Linked DNA regions of Yarrowia lipolytica. The protein of the gene in region 3 binds, or shares a complex with, the protein of the main gene of each other region. Links are inferred from orthologs where the notes say so. Each region holds a gene or a part of one and is shown on either strand. Other genes may lie near its edges. The genes, in order: YALI1_F29192g, YALI1_F32312g and YALI1_D06380g.

Region 1 (3,806 bases), on a different chromosome or scaffold from region 3:
AGTGCGGTAAACTCCGATGACCTGTTACCCTACATTGACATGGTACTTTTACGAAATGACTTGCGAGACAAAATGAGGAGACCGCTGGGGGAATATCGTCTCATCTGTTTATCTCAGCTGTTATGTTGTTGTTTTTATTCTAATGGGGTGTAAGAAAAACGCACCCTCCAAGGCACAAGGGATGGACAAATTAGCGCTGCACGTCGACGTGGTGTAGAACCGATAAGGCCTGATTGCGTCTACACGTGGGTTCGATTTTGGTTGTGACGCATTTAAGAAACTGCAAATTGATTGTGTGAAATATTCCCTCTGGTACTACTGTAATACGCTTTCTGGTACCACGTATCCAATATACTGTAAGTACGACGTAGGCCGAAATGGTCGCGCCGTGTGCATAACATCTACTGTAATTCTAGAATACCTCTCCCCTCGGCTTACCTAATATATATATACACCTGTTACTTTTATATAGACACACTGATACCATCGGCTGTGTCAAACCCCCAATTGCTCCTCTCTAAATGGCAATCTCCTTCTTTGCTCGAGGCTGCTTACCTCGTCCATATCCCTCCTTTCCATAGTAATCCATGGGGTAGTCGTTACCCTCTAAAGTGTCCTCGTCCATCATAACCATCGCCTCGTAGGGAGTCAGCAGAGGTTTAGGGAATGCGTAGCCCCAATCAATAGAAAGACGGGGGCACGCAACCTGCACCCACGCGTCAACACCGTCGAATAAGGCCAGCTTAGCTGGGAAGATCTCACTCAGAAGAACAATGTGTGTCTCATAGCCCTTAGAGTTGAGCTTCTCCTGCAGCATATCCAGAGTAGCAGTGTTTCCCTGTCGTCCCAGGGTCCCCAGAATGAGTCCTATGGTCTTGGCGTTCTTGGCTGTCTGGATGGCGCGTTTTCGCACGCTGACCATCTCAACCTGGTCAAAGTACTCCCTAGTGAGCTTTCTTGAGTAGGGATCGTATCTGTATGCAGGTATGTCGGGGTTGTGGATCATGGCTGACTCGAGATGGAACCGTCCGTCTCCGATGTACATAATCATATCGTAATCTTCAGTAGACATGTTTGCAGAAGTGCATCCCAGAACCTCACCTTTCGACAGAGGCATGATCTGAGGAGCAGTGCATACGATTCCAGCTTCGTTTAGGAGTCGATCCTTGAGTGTGTGGATGGTAGGGTTGAACTGGATGGTTCCCACCATGGCCATGCGAGTTCCAGTCTCGAAATTCTTCTTGAACGACTTAACGACATGGTCAGTATCAATCTCGATGGTGACAAAGACATAAAGGACCTTGATTTTGATGGAGTCGATGGGAACCAGACAGGAGTGTGCATAATGAATCAGGAAGTCACATCCCAGGGCGATAGCTGAGAAGTCATCAACGCAGCATGCACCATAAGTCACATCTCCCATGACAACTGTACTAATATCGGGTCCACAGAACTGCTCAATAATATCGGAAATGATGCAGGCGTAAATGAGAAGACCCTCGGGCATCTGAAGGGCAATCTTCTTGCAGTTGTTCTTTCGGATGTGCCAAATACTCTTGTGGATCTCAAAGTTGTAGTTTTTGGGCAGCGTCGTTGCAATCACTTCATTGAGCTCCTCATCGTTCAGAATCTCGTCGGGAATCTGGTTAATGATTCGTGGACGTCTGGTGGTGTTCTTGACGAGAGAAGTGGATGCAGAGGGCCCTGAGCCGTTAGCACGGCCCACAAAACGCTTTCGGGGCTGTGTGGAAGTTGATTTTTTGCATGTATCGGGGTCACAGGGAGCTACCGGGGTGGCAGTCGTACTCTTACACTCACCAGATGCTGAACACGACATTTCTGAGGGATTCGATGATAAGTTACACAGGGACGATTTTATGCATGCTGAAAATTTATTTAGGTTGGGTGATTAGGGATGCATTGCTGGGAATCGAACCCACTACAGGGTGTTTCTGCCGAAATTGCTTTCTACGGATTTGATGAGCAAGGCTTTTGAAGCAGATCACTACGTTTATCTGAGTCATGAAGTCGTTGGAGTGATTTTAGGACCGCCTCGTGTCTTAGGTGCTCTTTTCACCGACTTCTCTACCCCAGTGGCAAAATTAAACTTTGCTTTCTGACGAGGCTTGGACTGTCTGAGGCGTGCTCTAAACAAAGTTACGATGATATGCAAGAGATGCATAAAAATAATTTTTTGTTTCCTCTTCATCAAGGCGGCACACAATGATCACTCCCGACTTTACTGTGGATCAGGACGAGGACTTTGTGTTCGTGAACATCAAGGCACCCCATATTCGTGTCGCCAACATCGAGATTGTGGTGGATGGCGAGCTCTTCGTGTTCTCGTTAGCACCCTATTATCTGCGGTTGCGATTTCCTGGTCGACTTTTGGACGAAGATGAGGAGGAGGTAGAGATGGTAAAGAAGCAGATCAGCGATGCCAATCTCGATAAAAAAACATTGGGTCCAGGTGATCCGAAATCAGACGACAATTCGACCGACAAGAAGGAGGCTACTCTGATTGAAGAGGTGTCGACCAAGCCTCTGATAGAAGAGATCACAGAGACTAAGAAGGAATCGGAACCTAACGCCAAGAAGCGAAACTACGACGAGATGGCCACGTCGACTTTGGTGGAAGAGGTTCGGCCCAGCAAGTTCCTTCTGGAAGAGAACACCTCTCAGCCTCTAGTTGAGGAGGTGGAGCAGGTCAAGGTCAAGCCTCTGGTTGAGGAAGTTGGCGGTGGAGGGCTGCTAATTGAGGACATCACCGAGAAGACGGACGGCGACGAGGCTGTCACTAAAATCGACATCAAGAGGCGTCCAAAGGTGACCAAGGCTACTGCTACATACGATCTGGGAAGCTCTACCATCAAATGTCGAATCCCCAAGGAGGAATCTGGTATGTGGAAGGACATTGATATGATTGGAAAGCTTCTGGCTCGTCAGAATGAGACCCAAGTGATGGACGATCTTCGAAAAACTGTCATTGAGGAGCTGGATGGAAATGACAACGAGACTGAGCCTACAGAGCTCCAGGAGGCTGATGCATTTGACTGGGAGATCAAACAGGAAATCCCGAAGCTGGGTGAAGACAGCCACGTTCGATACGGCTGGCAGGGAGGATACAACGGTGCTGTGGGTGTCAGTGTGGCTAAGGGTAACGATGTTAACGAGATCGTTGATCCTGAGATGAACGGAGTCGACGAGGAGGCTAGAAAGGAGCTGAGAACAGACATTGAACAGTCACGTTTTAACCCAGGCTACTATCTATCCGATCTGCTTGAGAACGATATGGTCCCCGAGTATCTTCATTACGAGCTTCCTAAGGAATTTTGGAAAGAGAACAAGAGCGACATGTTATTGTCAGGCGAAGAGAATCGTGTTCTGAGCGAGATTATGTCAAAATCTCGGTCGAAATCAGCGTACAAGAACATTTCCGATCCTAAAAAGGCCTACATTGGACTGTTAAACCTTCTGTTCTCCTTCTTTTACGACATTCGAACCACATTCAACGATCATACTGTCGAATCCCCATGGACGATTGGTAAGTTGACTCCTCAGTTTGCCTCTTTGGATGATTCTTTCTACACCGTCTCTGAAGCTGTGATTGCGAGCAGTAGACGTGCGCTCACGTATCCCCTGGTGCGAAGTTTCGGACTGGTTCTTGAGATCTGGAAGGATGTTTCCAAGGTGATCAAGTCTGGCAAGCGGGCTATTCTCAAGGTGCTTCTGGAGCTGTACAAGCTCTTCTCAGTGCACGACCTCTATTATGTTTATGCTGACATCTGGCTTAAGGACTACATTGG
Region 2 (2,660 bases), on a different chromosome or scaffold from region 3:
GGACCTTGTCGCTAGACAAATGCCTCGAAGCTCCGAGAGACGCTGAATCGTAATTGTGAGCGTCCTAAATCGTATTCCTGATAACGGAAGGTGATCTGCGCAGAACAAGTTCGAAGAGAAGTATCTGTACACTTCTATAAGCAAGGAAGATCTAGGTAGCTGATAGACACAGACACCTAGTGGCGCTTACTATACAGCTGCCAGCATGGCAAGGGAACAAGTAAAGTGATGTCATCGTCCTATCCATCCTATTTTCTTCTTCAACCTTACGGTCGCGTGAATTCAACTATAAGACGAGTACTTGTAGCTATTCCCAATCGAGTGTGAGGAACAAATACAGATAAATACATGGACGCCGTGCTAACTAGAGTTGCATGTTTGCTTCTTTTTCCATTAGTGAATAAATAGATATGTGGACCAAGACACAACGATTGCTTCTTACCTTGTCACACGGATATGTGAGTAGTCCGCGTGACCTGAATGTATGTGTGTGTGTGTGTGTGTGTGTGTGTGTGTGTTTGAGAGTGTGTGGAGGGGGCCCATGACATATGTCGTAGAAGTCGTGACAGAACAGTTCATAGTGAGGGTGTCGTGTATGACAGTTTCCAGTCATAATCTGAATTTTGACTAGTGCTATAGAGCACCTCTTCGTCACGATTCTTCAAACTGCTCAAGGTCCTCGGGGTCGAAAATGACCTTGATCATGAGACTGCACGAGGGACAGACGGCTACCTCTTCGCCATCCTTGAGGTCGTCCAGGGCAATCTGGAACTTGTCGCCACACGGACAAGGATACGTTAAGATACCCTGATCCGCGTCGAAGATCATGTCTTCGATTTCGATTTCGTCGTAGAAAGACATGGGGTGCAAGTAACGAACGCCACAGGGGTAGCTGAAGACATCTGTTCGAAAATTTCAAATTGCGCATGTCAGAAGCACGATTACACGTAAAGAGGGTGTTGGGTTAGGGTTATAGGGGGCTTACTACGAGATGAGATACTCGCGGAAGGTATTAGATCGATCAGATATATTAGATAGTTGAGATATAAGACGGTACAAATAAGTAGTAGTGGTGGGTAGATAGATTGATATTTTGAGTATTTATGTACATGATTTTGGGGCCTGGCAGGTTTATAGAGACGAAAAAAAGGAAACCAACGAGGATGTGGTGGTGTCAAGGGGTGGGGGGCGACGATCATAGAATCATCGACGTCTAGTGGTGGAGACGGCTGTTATTTGTGTGTTGACGTATTTGTAGTGTGTACATAGCATCGAACCACGGATGCCCTCACGTCGTTTTAAAAACATCTGCTCATCCAATTTCACCTATTAAGTGCGCCGTCTCCCAGATTCGAACACACGACAATTTGAACCCTAATACTCAAACGTCCAAATTAACTCTGAGTCACACGTGACTTTGTGACTGCTTTCTGAAAAGGAAACTCGGAAACTCTGCTCCCACCTCTGACAAAAAATCAAACCTCCCACCAATTCTCAGCACTCCACGACAACCATGGGTATTTCTCGAGACTCCCGACACAAGCGATCCCACACCGGCGCCAAGCGTGTCTCCATCCACAAGAAGCGAAAGTTCGAGTGCGGTCGACAGGGTGCCGTCACCCGAATCGGCCCCAAGCGAATCCACACCGTCCGAACCCGTGGTGGTAACAAGAAGTTCCGAGCCATCCGAATCGAGACCGGCAACTTCTCCTGGGGCTCTGAGGGAACCACCCGAAAGACCCGAGTCCTCGGTGTCTCTTTCCACCCCTCCAACAACGAGCTTATCCGAACCAACACTCTGACCAAGTCTGCCATTGTCCAGATTGATGCCACTCCTTTCCGACAGTGGTACGAGTCCTACTACGGCAAGTCTCTCGGCAAGAAGAAGGCTGGCCAGGAGGAGCCCGTCATTGCTGAGGCTGACCAGGCTGCCGTTGCTGCCCGACAGGCTGATGCCAAGCTCGACCCTGCCGTCGAGGCTCAGTTCGGTGCTGGCCGACTCTACGCCTGCGTTTCTTCTCGACCCGGTCAGTCCGGCCGAGTTGACGGTTACGTTCTCGAGGGAGAGGAGCTTGCTTTCTACCTCAAGAAGATTGTCTCCAAGAAGTAGACACAAAACTAAAATGTATTATTGCACGTGAAAATGAACTGAGATGGGTTCAAATACCGCAGGTGTTTGTACGTTGTAGATAGTAGTACTTGTTGTTGTCTGTCGCCTGTGTATTGGTTGGGGTATCTACGGAAAGGTTTTGTGATAATGGGAATTAGTTGGTTTGGTCTTGGTTTAGAATCATCATTTGGTGAGTTCTTCGTGACCGTGTTTACTGGGTGAAAATATTTCAAATCAACTGTCCGGTGGGCTACACAACTTGTCGCAAATGGAGGCAAAACGACCTTTCCTATATGACTCTTTGGCACACTCTCTTGGAGGTCTTGACGATCTGTGTAATAGCGCTTTGCAGATTTATCTCTATATTAATTTGTTCAGGTGCATGGACGCCCCTACGGTGTCGTAATTACTGTATATATTGTAGCTACAAGAAGAGGCTTTGTGCTGTCCCAACTTGCTCCTGAGTGAATTGTGTTGTCCTTAACTGTCTTCTGATAATACAGTTAGTCAGACACAAGCTGCAATACTCGTACTGTAGAACACAGGCGTG
Region 3 (3,048 bases):
ACAAGTGAGTATAAGGCTGAAATTATAGATGCCTTCTGTATCTGGCCCCAGACTACGGAGCGATACTGTTACCAATGGTGGTTGCTATGTGTTTGCACTAGGTATGGGCATTGAAGTGTCTGTATCCACGAGCCTTGAAGCTTTGTTAATTATTTACTTAATAAGTGTGGGTGAACTCAGTAATTACTGAGCTAATGTAAGTACTTTGTTAACTAGCTCTGTAAATGTTGAAGTAAATTGATATAGTGTCAATAATACGTGATGGTTCAGCTTTAATCAGCAAGGCTAATGATCGCATCGTCTGGGGAAACTACTACTCGTATCTATCGTAAGTACTTTGATACAGCTAGCTGTACTGTAGACAGATGTCGTCTAGACTATATAGGGCTGTCTCAACAACCTCCAAAACTGCCAGATTCTGATATACAGCCAGTCTCGCTCTGTTAATACCGCCTTCTCTAGCATTCAACGTAATTCATTATCTATGACTTGAGTCTAGTTTGCAGGCAACTCTTTTGTCGCTCAGCTGTGTTTAAAAGGCAAAGACCTGATCCTCAAGTTTGCTGACAGGTCGGGCCTTCTCGTATCCGAGCTCGACGGAAGCCTTCTTGAGAGCAGAGATCATGGGAGGGGGGCCACACAGAAGCAGCTTGGTGTTGGGGCCAGGAGGGGGGCAGTGCTTCTCGAGAATCTCCTTGGTGACAAAGCCCACGGAACCGGTCCAGTCCTCGGGAGCGTTGTTGAGCACGTAGTGGATCTTGATGTTGTCGTTCTCGGCGGCAATGGCGTCCAGCTCCTTCTTGAGCAGAATGTCGTCGTGGTTCACGTTGGCGTAGACGAGGTTAACCTTGGTGTTGTCGGCGGGATCGGCGGCAATGTGTCGCAGAATCTGGTACATGGGGGTGATGCCGGTTCCTCCACAAACCATGCCGAAGGACTCGACCAGGCCGTGGTTGTAGACAAAGTTGCCCTTGGGGCCCCGCACCTTCATAGTGTCACCAATGGCCAGCTCAGACACGTACTTGGAGATGTTTCCCTGGGGGTAGGTCTTGATGAGAATGTCGAAGTAGCCCTTGTCGTACAGGTCGGACGAGGTGGGGGTGTAGGAACGCAGCACCTCCTTGCCTCCAATGTTGGCAGAAAGCGACACGTGCTGTCCGATGGGCAGACCCAGCACGTGGGAGGGTCGGGGCAGGCCAAATCGATAGATGGCCGAATTGTGAGAGAGCACCGTCTTCTGGATGAGAGGGAACTCCTTGAAGGCCGTATCTCCTCGCTGCAAGACAGCCTTGGGCTTGGAGTTGGAGAAGAAGTAGTAGGTGGCGGCGCCAATGATGAGCGCCCACACGGTGGCGATGGCGTAATAGGACTGCATTTGAGGTTGTCGTGAAGAAGAGGAGCGCATGATGGTGATGGAAATAGGCGTTTAATATAGTGACACGCACGTTATGGATAAAGTTTTGTAGTAGAATGTGATAAATGGATACCGGGTCAGAATAGAAGGTCTACAGTCGGGTGAGTCAGAAACCAGGCAGTATTACATCAACAGCAAATGAGTCAATTCCTTTTTTTTTTACATAATCGGCAAAAATCTCTCTGGTACTCCACCATTACTTGTCTCCCATTGTTAGCCATCTAAGTATAGCACCCTCAGTCCACGTTGAGTTTGTCCCCACATTTCACACACTTTTTTTTTATGGTGTGGAAAATCGCATGACATGTGACAAAGAGAACTGTGTGAGATCTCATCTTTGTCTGGTTCCTCTAGGAACATGTTCCACACGCTCCACACCAAGTCCCACATGCCAAAAGAGGCAACAATTGGACGAGCGCGGACGGTCAGGTGTCTGTCACGTGACCTGTGCATTATCGGGTCAACAAAAGATATGCTAACTGGAACCGTTGGGGAAGCTAGCTTTAGGTGAGTTGAAAAAGTGGTTAGTTGCGGAATGCAGCTGCATGAGATGGATTAGTCAGCGAGAGGAGGGAAGCAATGTATACCTGGCCCTGACCTGAGTCAGTTGCTGAGCAAGTGTGTGATATGAGTGAGCCAGGTTATGAGTCAGACTGGCTTTTCTCGCATCTGTCACTCACTGCTCTCATTTGGTGAATAACCTAATGGTGTATAAAGTGCCGCTATCATGAGATGGTAGCAAATCTGAAGAGGGCGATTTTTGAAGATAATATAGGAGAGAAACATGGCGGAAAGTAAGGGAGATAACTAATTGTGACACCCACAGTCAACTGCTCGAATTTTGAAGCGATTCGAGCAAAAATGAACAAGTTGGAGGGGATCCAGATTGGGCTAGGTGAACCTTGGTTTGAAAGTGTAGATGTTGCTGTGAAATCCTGATGAGTCAGGATCGAAACCCGTGCACTTGTGCTGTACACGGTGGATTCTTTTGCGATTATTCTAACACTTTTGGCTTGTTGATGTTGTTATCAGAAGTGTGTTTTCGATCGGATAGTGCGGCGTACATACATTGTGAGTCAAAAAGAGTCGATATTGACTCGTGTCTTGAGATTATCTGGCTTATTGATGAACTTGAACATTTAAGAAACGGTTTATATTCCCGGTAGTTTCATATTGGTCACTTCACCTGTACTTTTGAAGTGTTTTGGATGTTCTGTTTCCAGAGTCAGTATTGAGGACAGACTTGGGGTTGGTGTGGGTGTGTCTCTAGATATACAACAGGTGAACGATTTCAAACTATTGAAAGTCCTCTTTTGATACACTTTTGGAATCTCAAGTCACCCCTGGGTCTTCAATTGCGCTATAGATGATGTTTACAACACTATGATGACATGGTACAACCTCTCCCTCAAGTTGTTGTCGTTGTCACGTGACTAGATAGAATCAGAAATGTCAAAGTGATTGCTTCCATTGGATCCTTCGGTCTTTTCAGTCCATCTTCAGCTGCTTTGGGGTGTACAGTCATATCTAGTTACTGCTCTCTCCAAGAAGCGTGAGTTGAAGATCTCCAACGTGTTAGAAGTCTTGAATGTACATACTGTACTGTATATGAATTTGTAGTGTCTACAATTAGT

The links.
Region 1: YALI1_D06380g (region 3) and YALI1_F29192g share a complex: the UniProt entries of both Saccharomyces cerevisiae proteins name them as parts of the 2-(3-amino-3-carboxypropyl)histidine synthase complex. The link is inferred for Yarrowia lipolytica from reciprocal best matches to the Saccharomyces cerevisiae genes CBR1 and DPH1.
Region 2: YALI1_D06380g (region 3) and YALI1_F32312g share a complex: the UniProt entries of both Saccharomyces cerevisiae proteins name them as parts of the 2-(3-amino-3-carboxypropyl)histidine synthase complex. The link is inferred for Yarrowia lipolytica from reciprocal best matches to the Saccharomyces cerevisiae genes CBR1 and KTI11.

Annotation. Positions count from the first base shown.
Region 1 is NC_090775.1:2,917,458-2,921,263, forward strand, and holds YALI1_F29192g (uncharacterized protein), read right to left. Parts: upstream 1,838-3,806; coding exon 518-1,837; downstream 1-517. Other genes in the region: YALI1_F29196g (uncharacterized protein), read left to right, coding at 2,224-3,806. UniProt on the Saccharomyces cerevisiae protein: Catalyzes the first step of diphthamide biosynthesis, a post-translational modification of histidine which occurs in elongation factor 2.
Region 2 is NC_090775.1:3,229,407-3,232,066, reverse strand, and holds YALI1_F32312g (uncharacterized protein), read right to left. Parts: upstream 862-2,660; coding exon 652-861; downstream 1-651. Other genes in the region: YALI1_F32305g (40S ribosomal protein eS8), read left to right, coding at 1,514-2,110. UniProt on the Saccharomyces cerevisiae protein: Required for the first step of diphthamide biosynthesis, a post-translational modification of histidine which occurs in elongation factor 2.
Region 3 is NC_090773.1:636,656-639,703, forward strand, and holds YALI1_D06380g (uncharacterized protein), read right to left. Parts: upstream 1,406-3,048; coding exon 533-1,405; downstream 1-532. UniProt on the Saccharomyces cerevisiae protein: NADH-dependent reductase for KTI11/DPH3 and cytochrome b5. Required for the first step of diphthamide biosynthesis, a post-translational modification of histidine which occurs in elongation factor 2.